Callithrix jacchus: one gene and its partners. The protein of the gene in region 3 purifies or fractionates together with the protein of the main gene of each other region. This does not show direct contact. Links are inferred from orthologs where the notes say so. Each region holds a gene or a part of one and is shown on either strand. Other genes may lie near its edges.

Evidence for each region.
Region 1: the proteins of PLEKHM1 (region 3) and VPS39 purify together in Homo sapiens (co-immunoprecipitation; 3 studies listed by BioGRID and IntAct, with this or other methods). This does not show direct contact. The link is inferred for Callithrix jacchus from reciprocal best matches to the Homo sapiens genes PLEKHM1 and VPS39.
Region 2: the proteins of PLEKHM1 (region 3) and RAB7A purify together in Homo sapiens (affinity purification with western blotting; 5 studies listed by BioGRID and IntAct, with this or other methods). This does not show direct contact. The link is inferred for Callithrix jacchus from reciprocal best matches to the Homo sapiens genes PLEKHM1 and RAB7A.
Region 4: the proteins of PLEKHM1 (region 3) and VPS33A purify together in Homo sapiens (affinity purification with western blotting; 3 studies listed by BioGRID and IntAct, with this or other methods). This does not show direct contact. The link is inferred for Callithrix jacchus from reciprocal best matches to the Homo sapiens genes PLEKHM1 and VPS33A.
Region 5: the proteins of PLEKHM1 (region 3) and VPS41 purify together in Homo sapiens (affinity purification with western blotting; 4 studies listed by BioGRID and IntAct, with this or other methods). This does not show direct contact. The link is inferred for Callithrix jacchus from reciprocal best matches to the Homo sapiens genes PLEKHM1 and VPS41.

What each region holds. Positions count from the first base shown.
Region 1 is NC_133509.1:29,783,714-29,789,582, forward strand, and holds part of VPS39 (vam6/Vps39-like protein), read right to left. Parts: intron 3,219-5,869; coding exon 3,098-3,218; intron 2,987-3,097; coding exon 2,866-2,986; intron 1-2,865. UniProt on the Homo sapiens protein: Regulator of TGF-beta/activin signaling, inhibiting SMAD3- and activating SMAD2-dependent transcription.
Region 2 is NC_133516.1:73,345,417-73,351,285, reverse strand, and holds part of RAB7A (ras-related protein Rab-7a), read left to right. Parts: intron 1-1,896; coding exon 1,897-2,115; intron 2,116-3,081; coding exon 3,082-3,210; intron 3,211-5,869.
Region 3 is NC_133506.1:85,836,413-85,842,281, reverse strand, and holds part of PLEKHM1 (pleckstrin homology domain-containing family M member 1), read left to right. Parts: intron 1-2,995; coding exon 2,996-3,266; intron 3,267-5,869. UniProt on the Homo sapiens protein: Acts as a multivalent adapter protein that regulates Rab7-dependent and HOPS complex-dependent fusion events in the endolysosomal system and couples autophagic and the endocytic trafficking pathways.
Region 4 is NC_133510.1:125,449,338-125,455,206, reverse strand, and holds part of VPS33A (vacuolar protein sorting-associated protein 33A), read left to right. Parts: intron 1-2,110; coding exon 2,111-2,237; intron 2,238-4,389; coding exon 4,390-4,457; intron 4,458-5,630; coding exon 5,631-5,768; intron 5,769-5,869.
Region 5 is NC_133512.1:7,207,486-7,213,354, forward strand, and holds the end of VPS41 (vacuolar protein sorting-associated protein 41 homolog), read right to left. Parts: intron 4,600-5,869; coding exon 4,500-4,599; intron 4,395-4,499; coding exon 4,350-4,394; intron 2,864-4,349; coding exon 2,784-2,863; intron 2,204-2,783; coding exon 2,123-2,203; 3' UTR 1,442-2,122; downstream 1-1,441. UniProt on the Homo sapiens protein: Plays a role in vesicle-mediated protein trafficking to lysosomal compartments including the endocytic membrane transport and autophagic pathways. Acts as a component of the HOPS endosomal tethering complex.

The DNA of each region.
Region 1 (5,869 bases), on a different chromosome or scaffold from region 3:
TGGCTGTCCCTGGTCTCAGCTCTCCTGCTTGGTGCTTCAAAGGCTTCCAAAACCTGGTGCCAGCTTCCTCATCTAGCTGAGTCCCAAACACTTAGGCCACACCTTCTCCAATTAGGACAGGCTCCAAATGTGATAGACATTGGCCACAATTTTCACTTCCTTCACTTCCTCTCCATCTGTAATGCTCCATTTCCTGCTCTTGATCCTAATCTAGCATATTCTTAAAGGGTCAACTCAAGTGTCCAACCTTAGGCTGCCTTTTCCAGCCCACAGTGAACTGTCCCTCTCTGACACTTGACTCCAGGACTTACCAATGCTAAAGTTTAGTATGTAATTTCCCTCTGAAAGTTCCATGTATGTTTGCTTTTCTATTTAAATAAAAGGTTACGGCCAGGTGTGGTGGTTCACACCTGTAATTCCAGCACTTTGGGAAGCTGAGGCAGGCGGATGACCTGAGGTGAGGAGTTCAAGACCAGCCTGGCCAACATGGTTAACCCCATCTCTACTAAAAATAAAAAATTAGCTGAGTGTGATGGCATGCACCTGTAGTCCCAGCTACTCAGGAGGCTGAGGCAGGAAGATCACTTGAACCCGGGAGGTGGAAGTCACAGTGAGCCAAGATCACGCCACTGTACTCCAGCCTGAGGCTCTGTCTAAAAAAAAAAAAAAAAAAAGATAGCTTCCTCCTGGACTAAGATGATGTCAATCAACCTTTTTTGGTCATAAAAAGGGCAGAGCACAAAATAAGTATGAGCCTAGAAAAGAGAAGAAAAAATGGGAACCCACTTCCATTTTCTACGAAGATCACTGAAAAGACTCTGAGACCTTCCTGCTAAAAGAAATAGACTAAGGAGTTTCATATCACATAACCTTTTTATAAAGTTCAAAAACTAAATACATTACTTCTATATATTAAATACATGTAAAAAATTAAACATATGTTTAATCATTAAATATATATATTTTTCTTTTTTCCCCCTTGATCCTAGGACTTTATTACATATTTCAAATATATATTATATAATATACATATTAAACATATTTACATATTAAATATATATTTTAAATATATATGTAAGAGTAAGGTCATGATAAATACAAAATTTAGGATAATGATTACATCTAGAGGAGAGACAAAGGGATGGGATTGGAAGGATTATAACAAGTTATGAAAGATATGGTTCTTGGGTAGGATGGTAAGTACATGGGTATTCATGTGTTTTTTTTTTTTAATGAAAATAAAATAATACAGAACAATGCATGACTACAAAAAAAAAAAAACAGTAAGATGCTGAAATTCAGTGCTCCAAGAAAGCAATCATCTTTATTAAATATTAACTATGTCTATTAAGATAGGATTTTTAAGTCCAAAACATATATATCCAAAGTAAATGTTCTTCACGAGTAGCCACCATAGGTAACTAGAAGTACCTGCATTCTAAAAAATTGCTTTCCTTTCAGAAATAGTTTACAAGACACTCTAGAAATTCAGTTTCATTACTATTATCTTCATAAAAATCTCTACTTTAAAGTACCACTATCTGAGGCTGGGCATAGTGGCTCACATCTATAATCCCAGCACTTTGGGAGGCTGAGATGGGAGGATCACTTAGCTCAGGAGTTCAAGACTAGCCTGGGAAATGAAGTGAGACCCAATTTCTACAAAAAATAAAAAGAATCAACTGGGTGTGGTGGTATATGCTTGTGGTTCCAACAACACAGGAGACTGAGATGCTTGAGACCAGGAGGTTGAGGCTGCAGTGAGCCAAGACTGCATCACTGCACTCCAGCCTGGGTGACAGAGATCCTGTCTCAAAAAAAAAAAAAACCAAAAAACAAAAAAATACATATAGTAGCAATATCTGGCTTAACAACTAGGTTAGGCTCAGAATGACTTTTGGTTGTTTCCTAAAAGCAAATCCATCCCCTACAGATGACAATAATCATAACTGAGGATGTTTAAAAGAACAAGATACAGACTCTGACGTCAATCTTCAAAATGAGAGCATCTTTGGAACGAGAGGTGGTCACTGTTTTGCTGTGAACAAGATCCCTTGCATATATCAGAGTAAGCATCATAAATATAAGACTGCAGCCTGGCTGAATACAATAACTGGAAGTAGTTTCAAAATATCAAAAGAAAGCCTACTTATCCAAACATAGGAATGTACTGTTGAAAGGAATTTTTAGGGATCCTCTAGTTGTTGCATTCAACTTGACTGTAACAGCACATTTATGATGGTTACTTTACTTTAATGTCTGCATTATGTTTAATTTTTCAAGACCATGCAATATATATTAAATATTTTAGTCTCCTAGTCTTTTTTTTTTGAGATGGAGTCTCGCTATGTCACCCAGGTTGGAGTACAGTGGCATGATCTTAGCTCAATGTAACCTCTACCTTCCCAGGTTCAAGCAATTCTCCTGTCTCAGCTTCCCAAGTAGCTGGGATTACAGGTGCCTGACACTACACCCAGCTAATTTTTGTAGTTTCAGTAGAGACAGCATTTTGCCATGTTGGCCAAGCTGGTTTTGAACTCCTGACCTCAGGTGATCCGCCTGCGTTGACCTCCCAAAGTGCTGGGATTACAGGCACAAGCCACCACTCCTGGCCTCTCACATTAATTCTACAAAGTACTATTACTATAATTGACATTCATTCTACATTTGACAGATAAAGTGAAAAAGCAAAATCACTTAGAGTTACATAGATATTTTATGGTGGAGTCAGATCCAGTATCCAAGGCCCCTGACTTTCAGCTATGTCCTTATTCTACTAATCCAAAATAAATATGAAAACTGAAACCCAAATCACCTATTTTCAATAACAATAAAGAAGGCAGACTAGTCAGAAACAAGACTTACTGCAAGCTGCAGAGCCAATTCAAATTGCTTGTCCTGGAGAAGCTGTTGGATTTGGGTTGCCATGGGGACAGGGATGAGTCTCCAAACAAAATGATTGCTAGCCACATAGATAATGTTTGATCTGGAGGTAAGAGTAAAAATATTAGCAAAAGATCACAGGTTTTGTGATGACACAGGTGACTTTACAACTTTGGGAAAATATGCAGCCATGGTAAAGAAAGAAATTCCTTACCCTCCTGAGGTAATGAAACGAGGCCTTTGCAATTCAATGCTTTGGACCAGAAGCCTTGGTTCAAATGTTCGGATCTCCACATATCGAGGCAATACTGCGATGATGTAGGGAGGCTGGTGCTCTGTGAAGGAGAACATATAAAGCAGTTGTTCTGGTCTAAGGCTTTGGGTTTATGGAGTGTTTCAGCTGCTTATTTAAGATGTATTTAAATGGATAAACAAAAAGTCCACTAGTCAAATATCAAGCCGGGATCTTACACTGTGATTCAGAAAGAAAACAAAATTGGTCTGTAATCCCAGCAACCTGGGAGGTTGAGGTGGGAAGATCGCATAAACCTGGAGTTTGAGACCAGCCTAGGCAACTTAGTGAGACATTGCCTCAACAAAAACATTTTTAAAAAAAATTAGGTGCGGTGGCACACACCTGTAGTCTCAGCTACTCAGAGGCTGAGGTGGGAAGATTCTTTAAGCCCGGAGTTTGAGGCTGCAATGAGCCACAACTGCACCACTGCACTCTAGCACGGGTGACAGAGTGAGATCCTGATTCTAAAAAAAGAAAAAAAAATATTTTGCTTGACTTATGGTAAGAGAATCTCTTGCACAAAAGAGATGCATCAGCTTTGCTGACAGTCGCCTAATCACAATCCTGCCTTATTGCCCAAATAACTGGATAAAAGTTTCACTTGCTCTTTTTTCATCAGTCACAAAGCCACGCCAGACAAAAGACAGTTGCAGCTGCCCCTACAGTGCATCAGTGGGACAAACAGGCAACAGAACCTCTTCTTTCATTCTCTTAGAAAGAGGGGGAAAAAAAAGGTAAATTCTACTTTCCCTAAAATTACTCTAAGGGAAGAGGAGTTCCACATTTCTAGACAATGTTGTTTCTGCTAGAAATTTTCACGGAGAAAAGGTGTGATGTTCCACCTGATGGCTGCTATGGTTTGATTGTTTTTGTTCCCTCTCAAACTCATACGTTGGATACTTAATCATTCCCAGTGCAAAAGTATTGGAAGGTGGGGCCTAACGGGAGCTGTTTAGGTCCTGAGGCTCCACCCTCATCTATGGATTAATGCACTATAAAAAGGGCTTATGGGAGTGAGTTCTCTCTCATCTACCATGTGAGAACAAAGAGCTTATCTTTCTCTTACCCTTCTCCTTCCATTATGTGAAGGAGCATCAAGAAGGCCCTTACCAGACACCAGATGCTGGCACCCTGATCTGGGACTTCCAAGCCTCCAAATCTGTGGGGAAACAAATTCTAGTTTTTAAAAATTACCTAGTCTGTGGTATTCTGTTATAGCTGCACAAATGAACTTTCATACTTGCTGTCAAGTCTTAAAATGGTTTTCCTCTATTATACACATCTAAAAAAAAAACCTTTCATTCATCTATCCATGACCCAGAATTTACCCTTGCTGATCCAGTACAAATTATGTGTTATACTCCTTTTCTTCATTCTTTCTCTCTCTTTTGGAAATAACTTTAAATATATCCACTATATTTTTCTGTACTTATTGACAGGCATGTGACAATCCAAAGCTTAAAATGCTGGATGAAGCAGAACAATTCCACACAGTGCTAAAGAAGTCAGTATGTAAAAAGCAGAGCTGACAAAACCATAAAATCATCACAAATCAAGTCTTCCAACATTTGAGAAGCTGTATGGTGAAGGAGATTTAACATAAACGGAAGGAATTTAGAAAATAAGCAACACAAAACACATCTTTAAAAACACAAAATCTCAGAACAAGACTGAATAAGGATCTGCTTTACCTTACAATGAATTGTAAAATAGGTTGTATCCTACATTAAACATAATTTCACTAACTCAGAGACAACAGAAATATTTTCTATGACTATATTCCATACTATATCAAGAATTAGTAAAAAAACCACAGTGAGATATCACCTTATACCCCTTTAGGATGTATACTATTTAAAAAAAGGAAGAAAGAAAGAAAAGAACATGTGTTGATGAGAATATCGAAAAATTGGAACACTTGTGCACTGTTGGTGGGACTATAAAATGGTGCAGCCGCTATGGAACCAGTATGGTGGTTCCTCAGAAAATTAAAAATAGAATCACCATATGGTCCAGGAATCCCATTTCTGGGTATACATTCAAAACAATTGAAAATCAGGACTTCAAGGAGATATTTGCACATGCATGTTCATAAGCAGCATTACACACAGTAGCCAAAAGGTAAAAGCAACCCAAGCACCCATGGACAGATGAATGGATAAACCAAATGTGGTATATCAATACAGTGGAATATTATTCAGCTTTAAAAAGGAAGGCATGGACCTTAAGGGCATTATGCTAAAGTAAATAAGGCAGTCACAGAAAGACAAATACTGTATGACTTCCCTTATATGAAGTATCCAGAAGTCAAATTCATAGAAGCAGAAAGTAGAATGGCAGCTTCAGGGGCTGGAGGGAGAACTGAGGAGTTATAAGCGGGTATAGAGTTTCCATTTTGCAACATAAAAAGATTCTGAACGTCTATTGTACAACAATGTTAACATACTTAGTACCACTTTATACTTAAAAATGGTTCAGGTGGTAAATTGTATGTTATGTATTTTTTACTACATTTAAAAATAAAGATGTTTTTAAAAGTAAAAACACTAGTAAAAAGCAAACCACTGGATGCATAATTACCACACAGAAATTTAACTTCAAAGACCATAGTCATAAAATAATTTACTAATGTGGCTAATCTGCTATGAATTTATATTCCTAATTATCCTTTTTTTTTTTTTTTTTTGAGAC
Region 2 (5,869 bases), on a different chromosome or scaffold from region 3:
GTCATGGAAGATGACAAGAACTCAGGGCACTGTTAACAATTTCAATTAAATTATTAAAAAATTTAAAGGTCACAGTTAGCCATAGGACTGTACTTGTTGTTGATGTTTTGATAAATATGGCCTTTATTTTTGTAAATTCAAAGTTAAATTAATTTTGTTAACTTTCTAGGAACCCCTCAACTTGTTGACTTTTCTTTTTGTTGTTTTACTTTGCCTTTGTGTATCTGAGTTCCGGATGATGATTCCACCTAAAGGTAGCAGAGTTCTTACGTAATTCTGCTTGTAGGAGTCTATCTGAAGGAAGCCATTTGAAATACAGAAAAGGCCGGGTGCAGTGGCTCACACCTATAATCCCAGCACTTTGGGAGGCTGAGGCGGGTGGATCACGAGGTCAAGAGATCAAGACCATCCTGGTCAACAAGGTGAAACCCCGTCTCTACTAAAAATACAAAAATTAGCTGGGCCTGGTGATGCACGCCTGTAGTCCCAGCCACTCGAGAGGCTGAGGCAGGAGAATTGTTTGAACCCAGGAGACAGAGGTTGCAGTGAGCCAAAATCGTGCCATTGCACTCCAGTCTGGGTAACAACAGCGAAATTCCGTCTCAAAAAAAAAAAGAAAAGAAAAATACAGAAAAAGCTCCCTATGCTAATGTTAATTGCTGAGTTGTTTATAATTATAGGAAATTGACAGCAATATTTTCTTAAAAATAGGAATGGGTGGTTCACTAATTATGTTAGGCAGCAGTAAAGTCCAGTGAACCTGCTCTCCCATGTCACACCATCTGCTGTTGCCAGAGTGCCCTGGTGTGTGATGGGTAGAGGGGAGGGGCGTGGGAGAATGTGGAGAGTGTCACATAAGCAGTGTAGGATTTCAGCTCCAGAAAACCCCTCCATGCAGATGACTAGAACTCATTCCTGTGTGGGAGGATGCCAAGTGTCCTTTTGTTTGTTTGTTTGTGTTTGTTTAAGAATGGGGTCATTTCTCCACTTTCAGTGATGCATACATATTCAGTGTAGAACATTGAAGAACGAGGAGAGCACAGAGATGAGTATCACCAGCAGCCCCGAATCTGTTTAGTCTACATGTGTGGACTTTGTTTATTGTATCTGGGGAAGGGAGAAGAGCATTTAATGCCCTAACCTGCTGAGAGGCAGTGGAATCATTAGAGATAAATTTGTCTTTTTTGCTCTTCATACTTATATTTGAGTTGTCATCATATTTGTCCAGCTCTGTTTGCGTACCTGTTACGGATCTAGGGCAGTGAGGATACCCAGCCTTGGTCTTAAACCTAGCATGGCCATGAATGATGTGGCCAGCTTGGAGCTGCTCAGTAGTACCTGGTTTAATTGTTACTCTGGTGTGTGTTCTCATTGTCTTTCTCTTGGTCTCTTTCTGTCACAGTTTTTCATTTGTTTAGTTTTTTAATTGAAGTATAATATAAATGAAATAAAACATACTAATCTTTTATATTGTTTAGGCAAACTTGTCATACAGTAAAATACATGGATTGAACTGTATCATTCGTGAGTAATCACCTCACCTCCCTGTATTTCCATTGCACTCAGAAAGTTCCCAGAGTACTTAAGTCTTAACGTTTATAGCTCAACTTTTATACACCACCTACATGTGACCACTACTTGGATCAAGATATAGGAAATTTCTAGTACCCTGGAGGTTGGACTCAGTGTCACCCGTTCATAGACACATACTCACATATACTATTTGTGAGGATTGTTTTGGATACTCTGGTGCTGAAATTTGCTTCCTGATGTCTGGTGTCACTTGTCTTTGTGGGTGACTCCACAATCTAGCCCATTTCCTCTGGCACCTCGGCATACACACTCATGGTGCTCTGCCAGCATTCTCCCAAGGAATAAATGTTTTGTCTCTCACAGATATGGGACACAGCAGGACAGGAACGGTTCCAGTCTCTTGGTGTGGCCTTCTACAGAGGTGCGGACTGCTGCGTTCTGGTATTTGACGTGACTGCCCCCAACACATTCAAAACCCTAGATAGCTGGAGAGATGAGTTTCTCATCCAGGCCAGTCCCCGAGATCCTGAAAATTTCCCCTTCGTTGTGTTGGGAAACAAGATTGACCTCGAAAACAGACAAGTAAGTACCAATGATGATAGGCATTGTCACACTCACCTGCTCCCCAGGGGCCTTGTGAATTTGGAGAGTTCCCTGCTAAGCTCACAGGTCTGTAGGAGGTGCTGGTGGAAGTCTTTTTACCCTATTCGAGCCCTTCAGGCCAGCGGCCTTTAAGGACCAGGACCCACTCACCTGGGTTAATTAAGTCCCCATGCTGCCCCCAACTGGCTGTGACTTTGGACCATTTTCTTGGCTCTCTGAGCTTCAGTTCCCTTTCTGAACTTTGAAAGAGGGAATTCGATTTTGTTATTCTTAGTAGTCGCCTCCCAGCACCTCCAGGCCATGCCTGGATCTCTGTGTGTGCAGAATATTGCTTTGGGCTTTGAGTGAAATTGCTGTACTGTACTTTCAAATATCATTTCTGTTGGAAACATAGACTCTTTGATTAATTACAACAAGGTTTATTTCTGACCATGGATCTCTTTTTCTCCCCTTCCTAAGTGACTTAGTCCTTATCTCTTGGCTGAAATTGGGCTAGGGGTTGGGGAAGGAATGAGAACGTGTGAGTGGCATGGGTGACATCACACTAGCAGTAATGGGGAAGGGACTATACATCTTAAGACCAAGCTGCTGAGCAATTCCTGTTCTGGGATCTCTGAGGTCCCAGTAAACACTCTTCATTTCTTCCTGGACTGGCTTCTTACTCCATTCACAAATGGCTTTTAAGGTTTGTGAAAGGAGCGTCAGAAGGTATGGGCTATAGACCGAGACAGGCTTTGAGCTGTCTTGCTGAATCCTAGCTATCCTGAACATAGCCAGCAGGGCGAGTTTGGATGGGTCTGCAGATCTCCTCCAATACCCTCTTTCTCTAAGTCTTTGTCCTCACCTGTACCACCTATAGACAAGGGGCCATGACACTTCCTGGGGAGGATGGAGTCACTGCTGGCGGCTTCTGTCATGAGCCTGTGTGCACCCTGCTTCTTTCAGGTGGCCACAAAGCGGGCACAGGCCTGGTGCTACAGCAAAAACAACATTCCCTACTTTGAGACCAGTGCCAAGGAGGCCATCAACGTGGAGCAGGCGTTCCAGACAATTGCACGGAATGCACTTAAACAGGTGGGTCTCCCACAGCTGATCAGCCCCTCTGGTGATGCCTGACCACTGACCCAGCTCATGCCTGGCCTCCTGTCCTTAATCTTCTTCCCTAGCCTACTCTTTTCTATATAGCCAGAAAACCCTATGTGGTCATCTGGGAAGGTTATGACATGTTCTGCTTAAGCTTCCAGAAATCCCACTTTGTGGGGAATAATCTAAAAGAGGCAGAGGCCATGAAGACTGAGGCTGCCCTTTTTTTACTAGGCTTTTTCTTGTTTTCTTTTCATGCAATTGGGAGAGCAGGTCACTGGGAGACCCCTATCAGATTGCTGCTTCTATTTAAGGAGGAAGTAAACTTGAATACGAATCCCAGCTCTGCTCCCTACCAATCATTATATCTAGTTTGGGCTTAAAAAAAAAAATATTATGGCTGGGTGCGATGGCTCACACCTGTAATCCCAGCCCTTTGGAGGCTGAGGTGGGCAGATAACTTCAGGTCAGGAGTTCAAGAGCAGCCTGGCCAACATGGTGAAACCCCATTTCCACTAAAAAATCCAAAAAATTAGCCAGGCCTGGTGGCAGGCACCAGGAATCCCAGCTACTTGGGAGGCTGAGGCAGGAGAATTGTTTCAACCCAGGCAGTGGAGATTGCAGTGAGCCAAGATCACCACTGCACTCCAGCCTGGGTGACAGCAAGACTCTGTCTCAAAAAAAAAAAATATATATATATATATATATGAACTTCTACCCCCTCACCTGAAAAATGGGAATACCTGCTTTTGCAGAGTGATTATGGAGATTAAATGGGACAGACTCTTTCAGCTCTCACATACTGACAGGTAACTTTTTTCCCTAGGAACAGTTAAGTAAACAACACAAGGAAGAAAACACAGGAAAACTATTCAAGGGCTACAGTATATAGAATTTCTGATTTACTGTTTCTGTGATTAGATATAACCACTCATGTGAGTTGAAAGTCTGTTTTGATGTACAACTGTGTTAGGGGCAGTGTTGAGTTAAGGCAGGTCACGAGGCATCATCAGACAGTATCTAGGGGTGGTCAGAGGTATGGTGGATTTGGGGGAATATAGAGAACACTTGAAGCGTGTGGTGGCTGTGAAGGGCAAGGCAGATTCTGCTGACTCCAGGAAGCTGGCTGCATGGAGGTAATGGCTTTCGGTAGGGCAGAGAGTTGTTTGGAATGGTTGCTGCAAGGACCAGGGAAATTCTGGCATAGGTGGGGTCTGCACTAAGTGTTCCAGAATAAAAGGGACAGACCTCTACCCAGTGAGGAAATTGTTCCACCCAGAATGCCAGGAGAGCCCTCAAGTTGTAAGGAGCAGACCAAGATGCAGACTTGGCTACTCTAACCCCCATATAATAAACTGTTATGTTTTTCTTAATGTTCATATAAAGGAATGGAAATCCAAATACATGTGAGAAAGTGCTTCCCACCTGTTTCCCTGTTGCCTGGCATCAGAGTTTTTCTCCTCCATCACTTCTGTCCCTGTTGTCTTATAATAATGCTTTTATTTTTAGAGCTAGCCTCTAAGGAGTTAAATTTTTAGATTGGAAGATGGGTTTTATTGTAAGTTAGGGTGCCAGGTTGTTTTCCCCAGGTGGAGTAACATTTCAGCAGTGTGGGCTTGCTTTCTCCTACCTCCTTGCCAGCAAGCAATAGGTGTCACCTGTCACTCTGCTGACATTGCCAACCTTTGGGTGAGTAAATAGCCACCATCGTGGCTGAGTCCCTCTGAGTCCCTGTCCCTGGGGCTTAGCCATTTGGATTTTCTCTGCTACACACAGCGAGCACATAGCACACAGCACACAGTTGGGCATCTCTCAGTTCTGATGAACTGTTGGTGAATTGAAGTTAACTCTACTTACATTTCAAGTGACTTTACCAACTCTGTCGTCTTTTTAAGTCCTTTGACTAGGAAAAAAATAACTTTTTGTTTGGGTATTCATTTTAAATTGCTGTGTTTCTTATGTCTACATCTGATTTGTCTCTAATTCAGCTGGAATTTATTTTGGCTTATGGCAGGTAAGAGGGACTCACCTTTTCTCTCAGACAGCTCAGCCAGTTGTTTGAAATCAGTGGACTGTTATGTAAGGGATTTCCCTCTCTGAATAGACTGGCCATGCTAAATGCTCATATGTGCTGGGATCTATTTCTAGTCTCTGCAGTCTGTTCTGGTGATGTCTGTGTTCCCTCTTGAGGACTGTCTTGATTTGACTACCTGATGAGGCAAGTTTCCCCTTGCCACATTCTTCTTCTTTTTTTTTTTTTGAGACAGAGTCTTGCTCTGTCGCCCAGACTGGAGTGCAGTGGCATGATCTTGGCTCACTGCAACCTCCACCTCCCAGGTTCAAGCAGTTCTCCTACCTAAGCTTCCCAAGTAGCTGGGAATACAGGCATCTGTCACCATGCCCAGCTAATTTTGGTATTTTTTAGTAGAGACGGGGTTTTACCATGTTGGCCAGGCTGGTCTTGAACTCCTGACCTCGTGATCTGCCCGCTTCGGCCTCCTAAAGTGCTGAGATTACAGGCATGAGCCACCACACCCAGCCTGCCACATTCTATTTTTTGAGATGGAGTTTCGCTGTTGTTACCCAGACTGGAGTGCAATGGCACGATCTTGGCTCACCGCAACCTCCGCCTCCTGGGTTCAAGCAATTC
Region 3 (5,869 bases):
CTGTCTCCCAGCAGCTTCAGATTCAAAAGAGAACAACAAAGGGATGGGGCAGGGCCTGGCTGCCTGGGGTTGCAGGGGCCTGCGCAGAAGTGAGCCACAGAGGCAGCCAGTAAGGACCCTGAGACCCGCTCACCAGGCCTCCCTCATCTCAGACCTGAAAGCAGGGCTTAGAAACCCTACATACTGGGACAGCTAGATACCCACATGCAAAATAATAACACCCCTTCCTCACACCTTACACAAAAACTAACTCAAAATGGATCAGAAACCTAAATATAAGAACTAAACCTCACAGCTCTTGGCGGAAAACACAGAAGTAAATCTTTGTGATACTAGCGTAGGCAATGGCTTTTTAAGATACAACACCAGAATCACAACACCAAAAATAGACTTCAACAAAAACTGGACATCATCAAAATTAACAACTTATGTACTCCAGAGGACACCATCAGAAAAGTGAAAGCACATCACAGAATGGGAGAAAATATTTGCAAATCATAAATCTGGTAAGGGTCTCGTATTCAGAATACATAAAGCACCTTACAACTTAGATTAGTTCCTAGGGCCAGCATAACAAAGTACCATATATGGGATGATACATTGTTTAAATTTTAACAATACACATTGCTGACCGGGTAGCTCATACCTGTGATCTTAGCACTGCGGGAGGATCACTTGAGTCCAGGGGTTCAAGACTAGCCTGGCAATATGGTGAAACCCATCTCTACCAAAAATATAAAATACTGGCTAGGCATGCCGGTGCATGCCTGTAGTCTCAGCTACTCAGTGGGGCTGAAGTGGGAGGATTGCTTGAGCCTGGGCAGTCAAGGCTGCAATGAGCTCTGATTGCACCACTATACTCCAGCCTGGGCAAAGGGCAAGACCCTGCCTCAAAACAAAATAAAACAGGTCAGGTGCCATGGCTCACACCTGTAATCCCAACACTTTGGAGGCCAAGGCAGGTGGATCACCTGAGGTCAGGAGTTCAAGACCAGCCTGGGCAACATGGTGAAACCGTGTCTCAACTAAAAATACAAAAATTAGCCGGGCTTGGTGGTGCGCTCCTGTAATCCCAGCTACTCAGGAGGCCAAGGCAGGAGAATTGCTTGAACCTGGGAGGTGGAGGTTGCAGTGAGCCGAGACTGCACCATTGCACTCCATCCTGGGTGACTGAGCAAGATTCTGTCTCAAAACCTAAACAAAACAAAACTAATATTTATTCTCTGATAGTTCTGGCGGCTCCTTCTGGAGAGTCTAAGGAAGAATCTGTTCTCACCTTTCTCCTGGGTTTTGGTGTTGCAGGCGCTTGTTTGCATTCCTTGGCTTGTAGGCATGTCACTCTGGTCTTCTCTCTCCACTGTCACACGTGGTCTTCCTCCCTGTCTCTGTCTTCACTTGGTGTTCTCCTCTCTTTGTGTGTCTTTTCTCTTCCTCTTACAAAGACACCAGTCATACTTAATGAAGAGCCCGTTCCACTCCAGCGTGACCTCATCTTAACTAATGACTTCTGCAAAGACTGTTTCCAAACAGGTCACATTCTGAGATACTGGGGGTAGGATTTCAACATGTCCTTATGGGGGGGGGGCACAATTCAACCCACAACACAACTCAGCGACAAAAAGACAGCCCCATTTTAAGACAGACAATAGATTTGAGTAGATTTGAATGGATTTGAATAGATTTCTAAAGGAGAGAAATTGGAACCCTCATACATTGCTGGTGGGAATATAAAATGGTGCAGCCTCTTTGGAAAACAGCTTGGCAATTCCTCAAGAAGGGAAACATAGAGTTACACATGACCCAGCAAGTCTACTCCTAAGTATATACCCAAGACAGTGAAACATATGGCCACACAAAAACTTCTGTATAAGTGATTGTAGCAGCACTATTAATAACAGACAAAAAGGAGAAAAAACCCAACGTCCATCAGCTGATGAGTGAATAAGCCAAATGTGGTGGATCGAGACAATGGAATATTATTTGGCAATAAAAAGGAATGAACACTTATACATGCTTATATAACATGGATGCACCTTCTTTCTCTTCCACTAAGAGAAAGAAGCCAGGCACAAAAGGTCACGTGTCATATGGTTCCATCCCTGTGAGACGTCCAGAACAGGCAGATCTACAGGGACCGACAGTAGATGAGTGGTTGCCTAGAGCTGGGAGCGGCCGGGGGAGATGACAACAGCTAATGGGTATGGGGTTTCCTTTTGGGGTGAGGAAAATTTGCTCAACTTAGATGGTAGCAATGATTGCACAACTCTGTGACTAAGCCAAAACGCTTGAATTGGACACTTTATTTATTTATTTTTAGAGATGCGGTCTCATTCTGTTGCCCCGGCTGTAAGCACTGGAGGGCAGTGGCACAATCACAGCTCACTGCAGCCTGGACCTCCCGGGCTCAAGCAATTCTCCCACCTCAGCTTCCTCAGTAGCTGAGACTACAGGTGTACCATCACGCCCCGCTAGCTATTTTCTGTAGAGATGGGTATTCACTATGTTGCCCAGGCTGGTATCAAACTCCTGGGCTCAGTTGATCCTCCCACCTTGGCCTCCCAAAAGCTGGGGTTACAGGTGTGAGCCAGCATGCCTGGCCAAATTATATACTTTAAGTGGGTTAATTTTAGGATATATGAGCCATATCTAAATAAAGACTAAAAAAAATTTTTTTAGGCTGGTCACAGTGGCTCACACCTGTAATCTCAGCACTTTGGGAGGCCAAGGCAGGTGGCTCACCTGAGATCAGGAGTTTGAGACCAGCCTGGCCAACATGGTGAAACCCCTTCTCTACTAAAAATACAAAAATTAGCTGGGCATGGTGGCAGGTGCCTATAATCCCAGCTACTCGGGAGGCTGAGGCAGGAGCATTGCTTGAACCCTAAAGGCAGAAGTTGCAGTGAGCCATGATTGCACTCCAGCCTGGGCAACAGAGCGAGACTCTGTCTCAAAAAAACAAAACAAATTTTTAAACAAACAACTTCTTTTCCAACAGAAAAACAAGAGCTGGATCTCGGAAGATGACTTCTACCGGCCTTCCCAGGAGCAGCCCCTGGAGAGTGCTTCAGACCACCCCATAGCTTCTTCCAGGGGGACTCGAGAGTCAAGGCCTGGTCTCCACAGGCATTTTTCTCAAGGACCAAGAAAAAGCTGTTCCCTGGGGGCATTAGACCAAGTGTGTGTGCCTTCCCCAGGAGGCAGGCAAACCAAGGCAGCCCCAGCACAGGGCCATAAGAGCTTCCGGGTGGTTCACCGCAGGCAGATAGGTAGGTGACCAGGAGGGTCCTGGGTGGGGCCCATCGGCAGGGACCAGGCCTTTCAGAAGGCAGCTGTGAAGTCCTGTTTTCCATTGCCAAAGGAGCAGTGTGTTCCACAGTATTATAAAACTTCATTGTAGAATGTTGTCATAATCGTGCTCAGTCATTCAGGGAAGCATTTCAGGAAAAGTACTATATTGTCTCAAAACTGCCTGCATGGATAAAAATATTGTTTCATCTGTCAAATAGGAAAATATTTTCCCTGAAAGCTACTCTGTGCAATTTATGATTATAGAGAACTCTTGATTCCACCTGTAGCTCAGAGTAAATCTGGCCCCATGAAGCCCCAGGTGTTTTAAATGGGCCTTCCAAAGGTCTTTACTCTCAGTAGTTGGTTTATGTAACAGCTCTGGGGGGTTTGATCAGATCTGCTATTTGTTTTGTTTGTTTGTTTCTTTGTTTTGAGATGGAATCTCCCTTTGTTGGCCAGGCTGGAGTGCAGTAGCACAGTCTTGGCCCACTGCAACCTCACCCTCCTGGGTTCAAGGGATTTTCCTGTCTCAGCCTCCTGAGCAGCTGGGATTAGAGGTGCCCACCACAATGCCTGGCTAATTTTTGTATTTTTGGTAGACACAGGGTTTTGCTGTGTTGGCCAGGCTATCTGCTATTTGCTTAATGTCCTCCAGTGCTTCCTTTTTTTTTTTTTTTTTTTTTTTGAGACAGAGTCTTGCTCCTTCACCCAGGTTGGAGTACAGTGGTATGATCTCAACTCACCGCAGCCTCCACGTCCCAGCTCAAGTGCCTCAGCCTCCCCAGGAGCTGGGATTATAGAAGTACACTGCCACACCCAGCTGATTTTTGTATTTCCAGTAGAGATAGGGTTTTGTCATGTTGGCCAGGCTGGTCTTGAACTCTTGGCCTCATGTGATCCACCCACCTTGGCCTTCCAAAGTGCTGGGATTACAGGTGTGAGCCGCTGCACCCAGCCTCTCCACTGCTTTTACAGCAAGGCCAGCTTGATCTCCACACACTGTGAAATTTCAGTAAGCCTTAAATAGCCATAACCAAATTGTTCTGTAACCCTCATGATGGGTTTCCTCTTCAATACAAACAAACAAAAAACGTACGCTCCAGAATCTGTCTCTCTCTCTCACTTTCTGTTTGCAGTGACTGGGCAGAGAATCCTGCCCAGCTTAGGGGGTCCTGGCATGGGTAGTCCTGGTGTGGGTCACGTGGGTAGAACACAATCTCTGGCTGGCTTCTGTTTTGTCTGTCAGCCTATGTGATGGCTGTATTCTCTAACCTGCCAACGAAGCTGTACTTCAGGTCTAGGCCATCAAGTTTCCTGAAGGATGGGAAACCCCTGTACAATAGTGTGAAATCTCAAAGCCTGTTCCAAACTGGCGGAGTGAGAATTGTATGTCCTTTGGACACCTTGGTTGTTGTCACACCCCAGGGAGCAGGGAGCTTTGGGCAGCCTGGGATACATAGGCACTCACCCACTCATTCATTCAGCAAATATTATTGAGCCTCTGTGCTATGCCAGGCACTGTTCTAGGTGCTGGGGACATAGCAGGAAGCAAAGCAATGTCCCTCTCTTCATGGGATTTAGATTCTATTAGGGGAGATGGGAAATAAAATTAACCAGTAAGCATAGTGTGTGTTCAGGTGGTAATAAGTGCTATGGAGGACAGTAAATCTCTCCCTCTCTGCGGAGGTAGAGTGGACCATTGCATATAAGATAGCCAGAGAAGCCCTCACCAATAAGGGGAGGTTTGAGGAGACTCGAGGGGAGGGAGGGAAGGAGGCATGAGTATGAACGTGTTTCAGGCAAGGAGAACAAATGCAAAGACCCTGCACCAGGGCTGCACTTGACTTGTCCAGGGACAGTGGAGACCAGAGTGGCAGAAGAGAGGAGATGGGAGCGGGGTGGCGAGCGATGAGGTCAACCTGATGAGGTCTGTGGGCCACCTGAAGCACTTTGGCTTCTGCCAAGGGAGATGGCAGCCACTGTGGAGTTTTGGGGCAGAGAGACATGCTCTAACTTCCCTTTAAACAGGTCATCGTGGCTCCTATGTTGAGGGACTATGGGAGAGGAGAGGAGGTTGACATCACGAGCCAGGCCAGAGATGACAGTGAGTGGGGTGTGGTTGGGAAAGGCGGGGATTCCAGATGTGTGTGGAAGGCAGAGCCAACAGGATTTGCTGATGTAGGCTGTGAAAGAAAGAAAACCTAGGGTAACACCAAGGTTTTTGGTGTTACCAAAACTCCAGGCACCAGGCTGGAGTGCAGTGGCACAATCTTAGTTCACTGCTCCCAAGTTCAAGCAATTCTGCCTCAGCCTCCCAAGTAGCTGGGACTACAGCTGCACACCACCACACCCAGCTAATTTTTGTATTTTTAGTAGAGACGGGGTTTCATCATGTTGGCCAGGATGATCTCGATCTCTTGACCTCGTGATCTACCCACCTCGGCCTCCCAAAGTGCTGGGATTACATGCTTGAGCCACCATGCCCGGCTGACACCAAGGTTTTTAGCCCAAGTAATTGGAAGGATGAATTTTGCCATTTGATGAGATAAGGACCGTTCAGGAAGAAGCAGGTTGGCAGCAG
Region 4 (5,869 bases), on a different chromosome or scaffold from region 3:
CCAGTTTGGGGTGTCATTCTGAAACTCTAGGTCTCAGGTAGATGCCCATCCCAGAGGACAGTGAATAAAAGCTCCAAAAATATGGAGCCATTAAGCTGGGCTTCAGTGCAACTTTTCTCATCTTCAGTAACTACAAATTCCATATTGGAAGATCCAGGGTTTTCTTTCATTTTAAACTTTCTCACGCCCATTTGGTGTCAAGCTCGTTTTGTGTGGGGGTAGGTGGAGGCACACGTGTGTGCAGTTTACAGACTGCCATCATTAACATTTGCTTTATCATCTTAAATTATTTCCTCCCTCAATTAAGAGAAGCCATCTATACTATAAATAAAAATTCCTCTCTAATAGAACTTGTGGTTCATGCTGCAAACTCAAGTTTAGCCAGCGTGACTGTGGCAGGGGACCCCAGCACGTGTGGTGAGTGATAATGAGACTGAAATCCCCAGCAACCCAGGGCTTTTAAATTGGCTTAATTATCACCTTTCTGCCTCCTCTTGCCCATTCACTTGCTTATTTTTGCTCAGGCTCCTTTTTGAAACATGGGAATTCAACAAGATGGTAAACTCTGAATATTTATACTTTAGAAACATAAATTGGAAGTTTTTGAGAATGAATTTTTCATTGAGTATGTAGTTCCAGATTTTTTTTTTGAGACAGGGTCTCACTCTGTCACCCAGGATGGAGGCAGTGGTACAATCACAGCCTACTACAGCTGCTACCTCCCAGGCTCAAGCAATCGTTCCACGTCACTCTCCCAAGTAGCTGGGACCATAGGAACATGCCATCGTGCCCGGCTAAGTTTTTTGGGTTTTGGTATTGTTTTTGTAGAGACGGGGTCTCCCTGTGTTTTCCAGGCTGGCTTGGAACTTGGCCATGTAATTCCAGATTTTATCTTTCTTAGGAATTATATTCATTAATTGATTTTCATATTTCTGAAGTTACTTTTGGTTTAAGTTATTACATTTTGCTAAAAAATATCATCACCAAGCTAGGTTCGCTTTGTTCATAGACTATACTCAAGACTAAGGTTCAGGCCAGGCACAGTGACTCCCGCCTGTCATCTCAGCACTTTCAGAGGCTGAGGCAGGAGGATTGCTTGAGCCCAGAAGTTCTAGACCAGCCTGGGCAACACAGCAAGACACCGTCTCTACAAAACAACAGCTTCTTTTATTTTTTTTAACTAGCTGGACACAGTGGCATGTGCCTGTAATCCCAGCGACTCAGGAGGCTGAGGTGGGAGCCTAGGAGTTGGAGGCTGCAATGAGCTGTGATGGTGCCACTGCACTCCAGCCTCGCCAACAGAGAGAGACCCTGTCTCAAAATCAAAGACAAGACTGAGGTTCAACAGAAAAAAATGGTGTTGTTTTTTTTTTTCTGTTACATAGGAAACTTTTCCTCTTTATGGTACCCTCTAAACATTTTTTGTCTTAGTTTTTTACTCAGAAATTTGATGATCTATGTAATACTGTCTTTCACCAATACCTAGATGCCCACAAAACACTGACATAGTGTGTGAGCTGGTACACTGGAAGACAGACGCTGAGGCATCTGCTTCTCTAAAGAAGTGCTAATTCGGGAGACAGGCACCATGAGCTCTATATTTCAGTGACATGTACTTTTCTGTTTTTCTGTATAATGTTGGAGCTGTGTTTGGCCCGATTTATTTGTTGTCCATTCTGCCTTTTATAGTAATATAAATGAAATATCCTCTGAACAATACAAAAAACAGAGCACTTAAAAATAAAATATCAGCCGGGCGTGGGGGCTCACACCTGTAATTCTAACTCTTTGGGAGGCCAAGGTGGGTGGATCACTTGAGGTCAGGAGTTTGAGACCAGCCTGATCAATACAGCAAAACCCCATCTCTACTAAAAGTACAACAATTAGCTGGGCATGGTAGCAGGCACCTGTAATCCCAGCTACTCAGGAGGCTGAGGCAGGAGAATCACTTGAATCCTGGAGGGAGAGGTTCCAGTGAGCCAAGATAGCACCACTGCACTCCAGCCTGGGTGACAGAGCAAGACTCCCTCTCAAAAACATAAATAAAATAAATAAATACATAAATAAACCATCTTCCCTGCCTGAGGCACTGCTGTCTTGTTTCTTTCAGGAAAGACACAATGCAAAGACCGTGGGGGAGATCAAGCAGTTTGTTTCCCAGCTGCCGCACATGCAGGCAGCAAGGGGCTCGCTGGCAAACCATACCTCAATTGCAGAATTGATCAAAGATGTCACTAGTGAGTATCCTTTGTAAAGGTGGTTTCCATCTGGGGCTCTAGCACGCACAGCGTTTTACACCTGGGTCATCAACACCACGACGCCTCCTTGGAGTCAGCTCTGCCTTAATACCATGTGTTATTCCCTGTGTTAACTAAGTGTACATATGTTAACAGTTAAGAATTCCAGGCTGGGCACGGTGGCTCACACCTGTAATCCCAGCACTTTGGGAGGCTGAGGTGCGTAGATCACCTGAGGTCAGGAGTTTGAGACCACCGTGGCCAACATGGTGAAACCCTGTCTCTACTACAAATACAAAAATTAGCCAGGCGTGGTGATGCGTGTCTATAGTCCCAGCTACCAGGGAGGCTGAGGCAGGAGAATCGCTTGAACCCTGGAGGCAGAGGTTGCAGTGAGCTGAGATCACGCCACTGCACTCCAGCCTGGGCAACAGAGTGAGACTCCATCTCAAGAAAACAACAAACAAACAAAAAAAGGATGTTTCATTTGTTGACTGGGCATGGTGGCTCACGCCTGTAATCCCAGCATTTTGGGAGGCTGAGGCGGGCAGATCACTTGAGTCCAGGACTTGAAGACCAGCCTGGGCAACATGGTGAAACCACATCTCTACCAAAAATATAAAAATTAGCTGGGCATGTGGCACATGCCTGTAGTCTCAGCTACTCAGGAGTCTGAGACATGAGAATCACTTGAACCCAGGAGGTGGAGGTTGCAGTGAGCTGAGATTACATCACTGCACTCCAGCCTGGGTAAGTGAGACTCCATTTCAAAAAAAAAAAAAGAATGTTCCATTTGTTAACTGAATTTTTTTCATTATCATTTATATGAAAAATATTTGGAATGTAGAGAAGAGAAAAATATTTTAAGTTTGACATCATAATTTGAGATGGTTAATTTTTAAAATATAGCTTTTTCCTTTTACTTTTTTATTTTGAGAAAGAGTTTCACTCTTGTTGCCCAGGCTGGAGTGCAGTGATGCCATCTCGGCTCACCGCAACCTCCGCCTCCTGGGTTCAAGCGATTCTCCTGCCTCAGCCTCCCAAGTAGCTGGGATTACAGGCATGTGCCACCATGCCCAGCTAATTTTGTATTTTTGGTCTAGATGGGATTTCACCATGTTGGTCAGGTTGGTCTTGAATTCCTGACCTCAGGTGATCCGCCTGCCTCAGCCTTCCAAATTGCTGGGATTATAGGCGTGAAACACGGCGCTTGGCTGCTTTTTTCCTTTTTGAAGGATTACTTACTTGGCAAAGGGTGATTTTTTGTTGTTGTTGTTCTTTCCTTGAATACTCTATTCAGAATTGGTACAGAGAGTATATGTTGAGTATTTTGAAGAGCTCAGAAAATGTCTATTAAAGCAGACATGAGTTTGTTCATTACAACACAGGGCTGTAAAAGCTGAGTAAGAGGTTGTTTCATGAAGTATACTTTTGAATCTTAACTAAAACAGTGTTGGAAAGTCAGTCCTTTGTTTTCCTGTTAGTAGAAGTGGAAACCAGTTGAAATTGGGTTGAACCTAATGATGAAAATGAAATGCTCTTGAGGAATTAGCTTTTATTGATACTGACGCTCATTCTGGGGTCTGTACTGAAATCCTAAGGGTACAAAGGAGGGCCGTTGTCAACTCTATCTCAATGTAACTTAGGAGTACCGAGGCCTAGGGTTTTTCATGTTTCCTAGAAGATTTTCTTCAGATGATGACTTGAACTTATTGCTTGCTTGCTTTTTTTGCATGATGTCTGGTTTCTTTCCTTTTTTCTTTCTTTCTTTTGAGACAGTGTCTTGCTCTGTTGCCCAGGCTAGAATGCAGTGGCATGATCTTAGCTCACTGTAACCTCTGCCTCCCAGGTTCAAGTGATTCTCGCCTCAGCCTCCCGAGTAGCTGGGATTACAGGTGTGCACCACCACAGCTGGCTAATTTTTGTATTTTTGGTAGAGATGGGATTTGGCCATGTTGGTCAGGCTGGTCTTGAACTCCTGGCCTGAAGTGATCCACCCACCTCAGACTCCCAAAGTTCTGAGATTACAGGTTTGAGCTACCATGCCCCACCTGTCTAGTTTCTGAACCATGCTCTGTGTATAAAAGCATGCCACTCCAGTAAGTTAACATTTAATTTCTAAGTTGCAAATTTGCTAATTAATTCATTTTAGCTTCTGAAGACTTCTTTGATAAATTAACCGTGGAACAGGAGTTTATGTCTGGAATAGACACCGATAAGGTATGTGGACAAAAAAAACCTCTTTAACAAGTAGTTAAAAGCTTAGTAAACATCAAATTATAGCCAGAAAAGCAACTGCTTTGATTCCCATGCCTTGCCTAAATTTTTTTTTGTGTGACAGAGTCTCACTCTGTTGCCCAGGCTGGAGTGCAGTGGCACAATCTCGGCTCACTGCAACCTCTGCCTCCCGGGGTCAAGTGATTCTCCTGCCTCAGCCTCCCGAGTAGCTGGGATTACAGGCATGTGCCACCCCGCCTGGCTAATTTTTTTTTTTTTTTTTTTTTTTTTTTTTTTAACTATCTCCAGTAATGGGTATAAGCAAATTTTTGTATTTTTAGTAGAGACGGGGTTTTACCGTTTTGGCCAGGCTGGTCTCAAACTCCTGACTTCAGGTGATCTGCCCATCTCGGCCTTCCAAAGTGCTGGGATTACAGGCGTGAGCCTCTGTGCCCAGCTGCCTAAATATTTTTAAAAACAAATACAAAATGTGCAAGTGTAGATTTTATCATGTAACAGATATTTACCATTATTCTGTGCAAGACTCTTTCTGCCATACCTGGCAAGATGAGACCTAGCCCTGAAATCAAATATTTTTAAATTAAGATATTTGCTCTTTTGAGAGAGTTTCTTACATAATTCCTTTAAATATTTAACTCTGTTAACAAATTTTAAATCATTAACTTTATGAAAATTCCTAACATTAAACAATTACTGGTACTTTCTGCTAGATAAATTGTGGATATTATTGAAACGGACTAGGTGTCTGGTAGCCTCTCAGGAGCGTAGAGGCAGGTGGGTCCAGACAGACATTTGGAGTAACCAGCTGTATTCTCTGTGGCCTTGGGCTCCGGTGACTTGGCCTAATCACTTGTAGGGTGTGTGTGTGTGTGTGTGTGTGTGCACCTGCATGCTAGCCCAGGTGTGCATGTGGCTGGGGCTAGGAGAGCTATTTCAGAGGGGTTAGGGATTGTGAAAAAATAACTCATTTTCCCACATATCTCCTTTATTGGACTTTGAAAAATAATAGTAAACATCAAGTTCTTTTAAGTTCCCAAACCGGATAGTGTGTGTGTGTGTGTGTGTGTGTACACGTACGTACGTGTGTGTATGTGTGTACACGTACGTACGTGTGTGTGTGTATATATATGTATATGTATGCTACTTTATTTCTAGGTCAACAATTACATTGAGGATTGTATTGCCCAAAAGCACTCATTGATCAAGGTGTTGAGACTAGTTTGCCTGCAATCCGTGTGTAATAGTGGGCTCAAACAAAAAGTTTTGGATTATTACAAAAGAGAGATTCTCCAGGTAAGTATATTTTTAAATTATTAATTTGCCAAGAGGGACAGCATCTTTTTAAAAAATACTTCATGGGCCAGGCACAGAGGCTTATGCCTGTAATCTCAGCA
Region 5 (5,869 bases), on a different chromosome or scaffold from region 3:
CTGAGGGGTACATTCAGTAATAACAAATCACCTCCCAGTTCTACATATTTATGACTAAAAACAACAAGAAATTATTGTCTGCTAGAGAATTTTAACTGTTGTCTGCTAGAGAATTTTAACTTTAATGTGACGTTCTGTTCTGTGTATTTCCTCTGAACTCGGCCCTAAGATTTCTTAAAGGGATCAGGAGCCCTGCCCTGAAGTTAGATAGTCAACTCTGTGACCTCGACAACATCTCTACATTTTTATTTCTTCATCTGTAAACCAAGGCCTATCAGATCTTCTTCCTGGTGATGCTGTGACAATAAAATGAACTGCTGCTCATGGGAATGGCTGGGCGACTTCCGGAGCTGGCATGCTGTCAGTACTCACTAGCACCTATATTTTAAATTGGGCTGGTCTCCCCAAAAAAGACAGAAGGGGAAAGCTATATTTCTTCCCATTTATAGGACTAAGAGAGGAGGAACAATGAGGATGAGTTTTGCGCACTTTTACACTCATTAGAGGATGGCCATGCATCCCAAGACGGATGAAGCCAATAACTGTAAGACACGATCACGAGTTTGACTTTTCTTCCTCTGTGATGTGCTTTGTTCTCTGAGGGCAAGGCTGGTTCAACATACAGAAGTCTATAAACATAATTCACCACATAAACAGAACCAAAGACAAAAACCACATGATTATCTCAATAGACGCAGAGAAGGCCTTTGACAAAATTCAACAGCGCTTTATGCTAAAAACTCTCAATAAACTATTGACGGAACGTATCTCAGAATAATAAAAGCTATTTACAACAAACCCACAGCCAATATCGTACTGAATGGGCAAGAACTGGAAGCGTTCCCTTTGAAATCCGGCACTAGACAAGGATGCCCTCTCTCACCACTCCTATTCAATATAGTACTGGAAGTTCTAGCCAGAGCAATCAGGCAAGAAAAAGACATAAAGCATATTCAAATAGGAAAAGAGGAAGTCAAATTGTCTCTATTTGCAGACGACATGATTGCATATTTAGAAGACCCCATTGTCTCGGCCCAAAATCTCCTGAAACTGATAAGCAACTTCAGCAAAGTCTCGGGATACAAAATCAGTGTGCAAAAATCACAAGCATTCCTATACACCAATAACAGACTTAAAGAGAGCCAAATCAAGAATGAACTGCTATTCACAATTGCTACAAAGAGAATAAAATACCTAGGAATACAACTAATGGAGGCTTCAGAGGAGGCAAGAGGAAACATCATTAGCCCATCCTTCAGTATCAGGCGGTCCACTGTTCCTGAGACACCCTCAGTTTTCACAGGGTCACTGATTTCCTCCCTCCTGGCAAACCCTAGTCACAAGTGCTCAGACTCAAAGGCGCTGAACTCTCTTCTCTTCCTTACAAGGGTGCCAGAATTCTTAACTGCATCTGTTCATCCCAGTAAAAGTGAGTCCTTCACAATGAGAAGAGCTAACATTTATTCAATCAACAAATGTTGAGTGTTTGCCATGGCCAGATACTCTGCCAGTTGTCAGGGCACACAGAACAGGTGATTAGTACACATAAAGGTGCAGGACATCAGCCTGCTAATAGTATTCCCAGATGTCACCGAATGAGTGACAATTTGTACAATGTTTCGTTAAATGCCTATTTAGAGGATAACCATAGTTGATGACATAGAAAAAAGTCAAACCCAGAATGCAAGAATGGTGGCTGGCAGAGCACAGGGAAACAGGTCCAAGGTGTAGGTAGTAGCTTGCAGTATAACCTCAGTTGGTGACGCTTTCAGGCAGCTGGGACAATTCTCAGTAGTTCATCTTATGGTTAAATGGTTTTTCTAAGGTCTAAAAAAGTCAGTTCTAACTCCTAGACTTATGTTTCCATTACTATATAAACAATGAGCCAAACAAATAAATAATAAAATATTGACTATGGACCCCAAAATTTCAAAGCATGGGAGAACCCCAAATCCTTTGTCAATGCAGAGAAGCCACTAGTACAGGGATAAAGAAACTGTTTTTGAGCATAATCTAAACATAAACAAATCTTTTAACAGCATGAGTGTCAACAAATGCTTGTGCTGTTGCGGAAACAGTCTCAAAAAGAGCGATGACGAGGAGACTGTGAAGCAGAAACGAGCTACGTTTTCATCTCCAAAATTGCACTTCCTGGTCCACGGTTCTTAGCAGTGCAGATGTTGCAGAACTGTGCAGCAGAGTTCTAAAAATGCAATTTAAAAACACAGATTTAAAAAATGATCTCCTTTTTCTGCTCTCATATTCGGAAATACTAGGGTAGCATTAGTCAGGGGGTAGAGAGGAAGTAATGAAATGCCACTCCTTTCTCTGGAGTTTATTTCCAGTTAATGTAAGATTCAGCCTAGATCAGCTGTGAGTCTATAACTCAAAGGACACTCAACAGCAGAGTAAGTCTAACATGACCTGGGGGAACATGACACTAAAAACATGATAGCCTCATGGAACACGAATCCGGCTGAGAAACACATCACATAGAGGATGGCTCTCTCCTGTTGTTGCTCATCACCAAATTAACAGCCCCACAGCTGCTCATTTGGCTTGAATACATTCCTTCAAATGGGTACGCTTTTCTGTTTACTATAGTATACAAAGCCTTTCTAAATATTTTTGCATTTGAAAACTAGATTAATTTGTTATGTGATATGAATCTATAATTTTTTTTAACTCATGGAGCCATAAGAATGATGCGTTATAGTTTTGAGCACATTCCTCTAATTGTGTTAATTTCCCTATAGTTGATAGGTGCCAAGCTGCCAACTTACCATGCTGGGCATGGGCAGGCACTCCTTGTGGAACATATGCCGGCAATGGAAGACGACCACGCTGAAGGGCTTAGCTGCATCTGGTGAGGAAGGCAGATAAAGGAGGAGAACTCAATGCAACAAGCAAGATCATTTTAAACCAATCCTGACTGAGAGTCCAGCTGCAGTTAACTTTCCAGCAGTAAGCCGCCTTTAGAGAGTGGCTTATTTACAAAGGCATTCCTGAGGGGTGCTTTGATCAAACACAAAACAGGTATTACAATCGTGTTGCTCCTTGATTCACAGGTTACTTGCTTAGCTTCTGTGTCAGTTACCAAGACTACACTGAGGACAACTGCAGTAACCTTTATCTTGAAAACCAGCATGTGTATGTGTCTGTGCGCCCCTAACCCCTGTAGTCATTACACACCACAGCTGAAGTTGAGTCTGTGGCTTCATTAAAATGCTTTCCCAGTCCACCTGCTGCCTTTGCCAAGACCACACACCACTTCAGAGGCAGACCTGGCTTAAAAGCCCAGGCTGTGACCTTGCATTTTACTGTACTTCTGCTTGGGGAGATCTCCTCATCTGTTCCTGCTCTGTGTGGCCAGCTTATTTTTGGTAAGATTTCGGGTCATCAGCAGATTACAGTTGGAATTTAATCTAACTGTAGAGTGGGAATGCATGCGGTTCATTTTTGCTGAAACACTGGCTGAAATGCTATGGAAGCTCACTTCTTCACCTGAGCTCACTGAAGTTTTTAAGAGAAGCACTCAAAAATCCAAATCTATTTCCTCTAGCAAAGAACCTAATAGAACAACTTCTCATGCACTGCCCCATGAAATAATCCTTTAATGCTAAGTAAACATGAGGCCACCTAAGTCTTTTAATATTTTGTTATGCTGAATTTCTATTTCAAAAGCACTTGTTAGCATCCTGAAAATGATGCTTTGTGAATTTCTGCTTTTGAATTAGGCAAATTTCTTATGTCATAATAAACCTTAAGAGGCTTTTCATTACAGATGGAGATATATATATATATATATTGTTTCTATTGAAATGTGAGATGACTTGGGCATGTAGAACCAATAGCAGAGAAAAAGATTAAAGAAAAGGGAATGCTACCTGTAAATACTTTTTCCCCAGACACATACGTGGTTCTTCTACCTTGAAATTTAAATGCTGATGGCTAGTTTTCATTTTGTTTTACCCTAGACTAGCAGTTCTAAAACAATGGCCCCTGAACCAGTGGCATCAACATTACCTGGGAACTTGTCAGAAATGTACATTCTCAAATCCTGCCTTGGAAGTCTGGAACCAGAGTCTCTAGGGAGCCTGACTGGGCCAGCGATCTGGGTTCCAACAAGCCTGCCAGGTGACGCTGACTGACCCTAGAGCTTGAGAAACTCAGCTCTAAGCAATGGCTACACCTGCATTCCACTGAGCGGGATGTGAGCCACACTTCCCTCCACTGGGTCATTCTGAAATTATATACTTTTATAAACAGCAGTTGGCTAATTCCAAAATTTTGACTCCACTCATCATTCAAACACATATTTGGGACATTTTTTGGGGAAACCTTCTTACCTGATGGAAGAATAGGAGAAAGGCATGATTCACAGATGTTCTCCTCTGTAAGAAAACACACACACTTTGAATTATACCCTGTTTATGTCCGCTCGGCCATTTCTGAAAGCAGGGTCTGCAGTTCTATGTGATTATTTCAATTTTACCCACCATCAACAAGCACGCCTTTCATTTGAGTTCGGTGCATTTTCTTCAGTAAGGACAAAGAGTCAGCTACGAGAATCTTCTTGCAGCCTTCACGAAGCAGAATCTAATGCACACATTTTAAAAGAAAAGCCACCTTAAATACACTCAAATCTGAGAAGTGAAGGGACACTCTACAGGGGATTCCAAAAGCTGCCATGCTTGAAACACTCTAAAGGGACACTCACTGGTTCTCTTGCTCTCAGTACCCTATTCCCGCCAAACCACTACTACTAGGCTGACCTGGCCAGCCAGGGTCCACTCATTACCCTGTGCATCATTTCTTCCAACCATACACTGGCCCTGTAGCATTTGTATAATTAAAATTAAATTTCGAAGTCTGACAAAAAAGGCCCTATATTAACTAGCCATATTGTTACTTTAGAGGGATTCCTTAAACAGATTCTCTCAGGCAGAGTTTGGCTCCTACATCATGTGTTCATTCCATTCTCCATATCTTTACCCAGATCATCCATTTATTTCATAAATTCATCTATTTACTGTACAAATAAGTACTGGGTCTCTACCACATACGGGGTACTAGGTACAGATAATAAACTAAACAGATGTAATCTCTATCCTAAATCAGGCAGCAATCTGTCTTTTACTTTCCAAATCCAATCCAAACCATTGAGCACAGTGCTATGAATGTGTGTGTGTGTGTGTGTCTGTGTGGGGTATTAACTGACTATATAAACTTCAAATTTGGTGACTCCTTGGAGCTCTGACAATTGAAAAATGACCACTGATACTCATATTCTGTCACAAGATTCCTTTTCTTATTCTTCATCCCAGCATTGTAGCCTTTGTTTCTTCACACATTTTTCTTATTCCTCTGTAGGCTTTTTACTACTTCCCCCCACTTCCTGCCTGGTGAATGACAAGAAACATCACAATGCTTTAGCAGCCTCAGAAGTCAAAAGCACACAGTGAAGGGATGTTGCCGATTTCTGGCTGGTACCAATGTTGTATTTCAGAAGTGGAGGCAAAATGGGGACCAAGATCCTCCCCTGCTTTTTTTTTTTTTTTTTTTCTTGAGACAGAGTTTTGCTCTTGTTACCCAGGCTGGAGTGCAATGGCGCGATCTCGGCTCACCGCAATCTCCGCCTCCTGGGTCCAGGCAATTCTCTTGCCTCAGCCTCCTGAGGGGCTGGGACTACAGGCATGTGCCACCATGCCTAACTAATTTTTTGTATTTTAAGTAGAGACGGGGTTTCACCATGTTGACCAGGATGGTGTCGATCTCTTGACCTCGTGATCCACCCGCCTCGGCCTCCCAAAGTGCTGGGATTACAGGCTTGAGCCACTGCACCCGACCCCTCCCCTGCTTTTAAGTG